Linked DNA regions of Mus musculus. The protein of the gene in region 1 interacts with the protein of each later gene in a pairwise test. Links are inferred from orthologs where the notes say so. Each region holds a gene or a part of one and is shown in the gene's direction. Other genes may lie near its edges.

Region 1 (2,440 bases):
TTTTTGCTGGTGAGAACATGGATGTCTGACTGCTCGAAGTCATGATCTGTTTGGAGTATCTTCCCGATTAGAGCAGGAGAAAGGAAACTCAGGGCAAACCGTGAGGATGTGCCTGCTTTGCCCAGTAGGACACACAAATGCCAACAGACTGATAAAAGGAAGGGAGGCAATCCTTGTACACAGTTCCTAACTAGAGGCAAATATGGCTGCCAGTAGACTTGTGGGGCTATTAACTGTGTGGACCCTGACACCAGCCTCTCCCGCCCTTCTTGTCCAAGGGTGCTTGAGCAAAGAGGGTGAGACTACAAATAGAGATTCAGCCAGGAGCCGAGAGTGCTTGGATCATCACGAGGCCAGTAGAGCTGAGGGGAAGGAAGGGTCTCCAAACTAATGGGGACATAAAGAGCTGTCGGCTCACTGGGGCCTAACGGTCTCAGAGACTGTCTGGCAGCGCCTTGTGGTCAACACAGGTAAGGGAAAGGGCCACCAAGGGTCAGGTACCTGGCTCTGAGGAGCCCCCTGTCCTTTCCTATTATGTCCTTAACCACCCAGCCCATTCTGCTGAGAGCAGCTGGCGTTCCCAGGATCGCAGCTAAACTGATGACACTGAAAAGGTTCCCATGTCCTCAGACCACAAAGGGCTCCCTCATTACTGCCATACACCCAGACACAGGCTGGCAGGGCAGCGACCCATCCTGGCAGCCTTCACTGGCTGACAAGTACCCAACCAGAGCTGCTCTTCTAGCCTTTGGCCCCCAACACTGCAGACAGGGAAGCTGCTGGTCCACACCAAGAGTAAGTGAGAGGCAGGCAGGCAGCCCAGCTCCACAGCCCTTCTTCCTCATAAGCTGCTGTGTACATGTGACGCTTACTCCGCCTCCTGTGCTCTATTGCTTTAGGCTATGAACTCTCGAAAGTAGAAGGGAAGACCGGAACTCCTGAGAAACCCCTGTCAGATCTTGGCCTCCTATCCTACCGAAGTTACTGGTCCCAAACCATCTTGGAGATCCTGATGGGGCTGAAGTCGGAGAGCGGGGAGAGGCCACAGATCACCATCAAGTGAGCCCAAATGCCCACCTGGGGGTTGTGGTTTGGTCTGTCTGTTCCTGGGGTTTCTGGGGACAGATGAATATCTTCAGGGGACTGAACTTTCCCCCACTTCCACCCCCACAGTGAGATCAGTGAAATCACTAGTATCAAGAAAGAAGATGTCATCTCCACACTGCAGTATCTCAACCTCATCAATTACTACAAGGTTAGGAGGCATGCTCAGGGGATAGATGAGATATGGATGCAGGCTCTGAGCTGACATGAGCTGGCTCTATCTCTTGCTCAGGGCCAGTATATCCTAACTCTGTCAGAAGACATCGTGGATGGGCATGAGCGGGCTATGCTCAAGCGGCTCCTTCGGATTGACTCCAAGTGTCTGCACTTCACTCCCAAAGACTGGAGCAAGAGAGGAAAGTGGTGACACACACTACCCATTGCCATACCACGAGAGCTGGCCGAACCATGGCTAGCACCCTGTCTTGTCCCATTTGAGCTTCGAAGAGGCACGCAAAGTGAGACAGGCCGAAGAACAGACCCAAGAGGAGAAGAGGCCTAGGAGGGGCCCACTAGTGGCCAGTGCCAAGGCAAGCTCAGGTCTAGGCCAACTCCGAGGATAACTGGCTTACTGGCCCAGGTCCGCTCTGAACACGTGGACCAAAGGGATCCAGGCAGCTGTGTACATTAAGATGGGTGGGGAGCATTCTGTACAGGACCGGTGATTGTAAAAATTTCTTTTATAAAGGAGGAGCTGGAGGGTGGGGTGGGCGCTGGTTGCAAAGTTCTGGCCCCTCTTGCCCCCAGAAATAAATTGTTTATATAGGCAGAGCTATCAGGAGTTCTTACCAAACTGGGTGCCATGTAATGGCAGCTTCAGGGTGCTAAGGTGCCCACAGACTCAGGCATTGTGAAGATCTCATTTATTGGGATAGAAACAGTCGCTCCAAGTGGTGAGAAGGGATCTGTGACTGTCATTCTCATGATCTGGTTCTCAGTCCTCAGGGACCTGGGCGTGAATCTGCAACAGGAGTCACTTCTACTTTGTGACTTATAATACACAGCAGTTGGGTGGGGACCCAGCTGCTCAGGGTGATAGCCTCGTCTAAGAGAAAAGTGGGGAATGCCCCCCACCACTGGGAGTTTGGGCCTCCGGAGCCATGATCCCCGTGGTGTTTATTGCCCTAAAGCCCCCAAATCACTAGAGACACTATTCAAATCGGATAGAAGGACTGACCAAGTCTGAGGAGGAAAAGGGCTCCTGAGTATACGTACCGCTGCTGCGAGGCTGGGCCAACCTAGGGCCCTATGCACTTTGGCATCTGGACCCGGGACCGTTTCCAGACCCCACAAGGTGAAATGGCTGAAGCTGCCGGTGGCCCCGATAAGGCGGTCC
Region 2 (4,222 bases), on another chromosome or scaffold:
AACCCTGACTCAAAAAAACAAAACAAAACAAATGAAAAGCAAAACAAAACAGAAGGCTGGGGCATGGAGGAGAAAGGCCCCAAGGATAAAGTGTTACCTTTACCTGGCTTTAAGTATCTGACCTTGTGTATTGGGTGAACTGTGTGGCTGCTCTGTGTGTGGTAAAAACTACTTTCCGTCTCCTTTCCATACAGTCCTCTGTTGAGGTGAGGAGCAGGCTGGCCCACACTTAGAGTGCAGAGACAAGCTTCTTTTCCATGAAAGTGGAGTTTCTGCTTAAGTTGCCTGAAGTTGCTCTGCCCCGGAGATTTGTCTTTCTGGCCTTACCTGGCCTTACATTAGTAGATCGATTCATCGGTCATTTCACATTAGATGGATAACTTTGGGTTACCGTAACACCTTGTTCCTCAAATTCTTCTGGCGGTGGCTTCCTATCAATGCATATCATCTTTCTTTCTTCCTGTGTTCTTTTTTTAAGATTTATTAAATATTATTTATTATTATATGTAAGTACACTGTAGCTGTGTCTTTCAGATACACCAGAGAAGGGCGTCAGATTTCATTATGGATGTTGTGAGCCACTGTGAGCCACCATGTGGTTGCTGGGATTTGAACTCAGGACCTTTAGAAGAGCAGTCAGCGCTCTTAACCACTGAGCCATCTCTCCAGCCCCTCCTCTCATACTTTCTTTGTTTCTTGATGGCTAGCCTTCTACCTTGTTTGTCCAGCGGTTTCCCACCCCCTAGCCAGAATGCCCCTTTTCTGTTTCTGAGCCCCCAGTAGGGTGCCAGGCAACGAGGACAAGGTCGTGGCAATACTCCTGTGGGTGTCCCACTGACAGCAGGCAGGAAGGGGCTAGTGGAAGGCGGGGCTCAGTGTCTACGTGGTCCACAACCTCGGGTTAGGCAGTCGTGCGGGTCCCCGCTGGCGCAGCCACACCCACGCTCAGAAACGGTTTCTAGTGCCCTAGTTTCGGAACTACTCTGGACTGCAAAAGTCATCCGCGCTGAGGGGTTTTCCCGCGGAAAGTCCGATGGATCCCGCCCCGCCCATCTCTCCATCCCAGAGCAAGGAAGAAGAAAGAGCAAGTTCCCGGGTGGTCCACACCGTCGCCCGCAGCATCTCGGGGTGCACAGGAGGGGAAGAAGGCTCGTGCTTAGGTTCCCAGCAACCCGCAGCGTGGCGACCCCAGTCGGGACGGGAAGCTGCGCGCCTAGCCGAGGGCGTCCCCGGGGCGGGGCCCTGGTCCCCAGCTGTGCAGCCTCAGCGCGGCAGGGGCGGAGCCAGCAGCACCAGACGCGGCCCTGCGGCTCAGGGCTCGGACCCCGGCTGAGAAGCGCAGCCCGGGCCAGCAAGAAGCGGAGGGGGCAGAGCCGCGGGGACACGCCGCGGTGTCCTCCCGGCGTCCGGACGCTGGATCAGCGCCCCGCAGGATCACGGTTCGTTTTGTCCCGCGAGTCTGCTTAGCTCTCTAACTCTTTCGACATCGGGGACCCAGGTTCGGGGTTGGCTGGAGTGGTGGACCGCGCTGGCAGGGATGCTGCGCAGCTGCAGGTGGGTTTGGGGTGTGGTTCCCTCTGTGCCTCTAGGTACCTTCAGGACGAGGCTTTGGGTTTCTCACCTAGAGCCGAGAGCTTTTTTTTTTTTTTTTTTTTTTTTTTTTTTTTTTTTTTTTTTTTTATGTTTAAGAATATAATGCGTTATCAGAAGTGCTTCAGAAATGTAGACTGACTCTGAAGCTTCCTGAGGCAACTTCTGTTTTGAATTTTTGTTGTTTTTATTTAATGGAGGTGTTTTATTCAGTTCGGTCGCCACTTTCTCTAACACATCAGAATGGACACTTCTCCACTTGAACTTGACAGTATGACTCAGGAGCCAGGAAATACAGGAACACTGATACCGCGTTGAAACAGCTCCCACGGAGGATTTGGGGTAGTTTGTTTTAGGAAACCGATCTGATGGCTTTGCTTAGAGAACCACACCACGGAATTCTGTTGGCTTCTTTGGCTCCGCGAACATCAGCTGAGACCTGCGTTTTACTTCCTGTGACTCTCACACTTATTAGAGCCATTTCTCAGCAGAGGGAGGAGCTGTTGTTTCTACACGGGTATCCACAAATGAGTCACAAGTCTACTACAATTGCAAGGCTTTGTTAATACGCTTTTGAAAAGTGAGGTTGGATTCCTGTACTTTGAATAAGACCGAAGATTCAGTCTGGTACTGTCAAACTGGGGCAGGCGGCCTAGGAAGTAACTATTCAAGTTTTCAGTTTCCTAGAGCGCCTGATGGGACAACATGCCAGCTAGGGTCACTAGGCTGATCTGAGATAAACCCTTAAAATCATGTGCTTTCCCACAGAAGCTGAAGAGAAAATTAATTTCTTTATCCAATAACCATTTGGCTGTTGTTTTCACTAGTTGGTAGAAACTGGACATTTAATGAAGTGATTGTAAGTTACTCTGAAATTTAAAATATTTCAGAAAGTTTATTTTTACCAAATTAGTGCCTTAAAAAAAAACATATAGAAGCTTTTGAAGAAAGTAGATGGTTGCTGGAGCCAGACATTAAGATGCTGAGTCTCCCTGAGGCTGGATAAAGGCTCTAAGAAATAGACTTCCCTATCTAGGAGCTCAGTAGAGACAGGAATAACTGCATATCCTGGCTGAGCTGAGGTCAGCCTTAGACAGCAGTTGCAAGGTTCTGGTCTGTTCCAGCCTTTTCATCCAGGTCCATGCATGCAATATGGACACAATGCTATCCTGGCAGCCAGGGCCACAGCTGAGCAGATTCTCCTGGACATCCAACACCGTGAGATGGATGCTATGGGAAATTTATACCCAAAGAAGGTGCCCCAGTGTGGGGGATCAGAGTATCCTGGATCACTGCTGGGACAGCAAGGGAAGGTCTGGGTTCTCATCATCTGCTTGTCTTGGTTGGCAGCCTAGTTTTCATTCAATACATGCATGATTTAAAAAGCATATTAGCATATGTCTATGATTTAAAAGCCCATTAGGAAGGCATGGCTTTTAAAGTGTTTGAATTAACCATGTTTCACATTACTTAGCAGCTGTGTAAAGGCAAACCCAGTCTCTGTTATCATCCCTGGGCAGTTGGGGGCACTCTTTTAAACACCAGAGTGACTTAGGAGTGATTAGCAGCTGTCTACTCACCAGTTGATACAATAGTTGCTCCCCATCTGAGGACTGGCTTGACTCCCATGATTTTTGCTACCCAAGCTCTGAAATAGAAAGTTCCAGAATAGTAGTAGTATATTTTGATTTATTTTACTTGAGACATGGTCTCACTGTGTAGCCCTGGCTGGCCTGGAATTCACCACACAGACCAGGCTGGCCCAGAATTCACAAATTATCTGTCTGCCTGCTTCTACCTCCTGAGAACTCATATTAAAGGTGGGTGCCACCACACTTGTCAGTAAGATACTCTGAGAGGAAAAACATCCACACCAAATTAATTATAACCATATTGCTGCAATTGTTCCACCTCTAATTCTTGTTAATCTCTTGCTGTGAATAATTTGTGAATTTAAACTTTATCTTAAATATGTGTGCACAGGAAGCAGCATAAACAGGTGCCAGGCGTTCACTAGAGTCTCCTGGACCGGAAGCTCCAGGGTTAAGGAGGACCTAATCTCCCAGTCCTCTGAGGTGGCCCACTAGCAAAGGGCATCTGCCCAACCTAACAGCTTTCATCTCTACGTTTCATCTCTCCCTCCGCGGCCTCAGAGGCACATTTTCTAGAGGAAAGAAAAGATAAAAGTGTGTTATTCAGCATTGCATTTCTGGGCTTTGGCACAGGTTGACTCATGGTTAGCGGAAAGGAGCGTTGATTAAACAGTGAACCTGACTGTAGATGAGGGTTGTCCAGGAGCTTGGAAGGGTGGGTGGCCCAGCAGAAGGAGCAGCGTTCTGTGGTCAGGAAGCTCCAGTCTGTTTCCTGGGCACTGGGGGAGTGGGGACGAGCAGAGGGGAGGGCAGAAAGATGAAGGAGGAAAGATAAGACCGCCTAGGCCCGTGTGCCATGGAAGCCCCAGGACTTTATTCTGAGGAGGCCTCAGAGAAAACACACAGCATGAGAGGAATGTTTAAAACAGAGCCGAAGCAAAGGAGGCAGTGCTCACACTATAAAGTGCTTGCCACACGAGCAGAAAGGCTTGCGTTTGATTCCCCAGCATCTGTGTAGAAGGTAGGCCCAACAGCTGTCA

Evidence for each region. The genes of interacting proteins can lie anywhere in the genome.
Region 2: the proteins of Kat5 (region 1) and Stx11 interact in binary tests that used the Homo sapiens proteins (3 or more experiments, as listed by UniProt). The two-hybrid records come from large-scale screens. The link is inferred for Mus musculus from reciprocal best matches to the Homo sapiens genes KAT5 and STX11.

The regions. Positions count from the first base shown.
Region 1 is NC_000085.6:5,602,449-5,604,888, reverse strand, and holds the end of Kat5 (histone acetyltransferase KAT5), read left to right. Parts: intron 1-552; exon of another isoform or gene 553-795; intron 796-899; coding exon 900-1,059; intron 1,060-1,173; coding exon 1,174-1,255; intron 1,256-1,336; coding exon 1,337-1,471; 3' UTR 1,472-1,875; downstream 1,876-2,440. Other genes in the region: Rnaseh2c (ribonuclease H2 subunit C), read right to left, coding at 2,039-2,065, 2,320-2,439. UniProt on the Homo sapiens protein: Catalytic subunit of the NuA4 histone acetyltransferase complex, a multiprotein complex involved in transcriptional activation of select genes principally by acetylation of nucleosomal histones H2A and H4.
Region 2 is NC_000076.6:12,961,332-12,965,553, reverse strand, and holds the start of Stx11 (syntaxin-11), read left to right. Parts: upstream 1-1,294; 5' UTR 1,295-1,554; intron 1,555-4,222. UniProt on the Homo sapiens protein: SNARE that acts to regulate protein transport between late endosomes and the trans-Golgi network.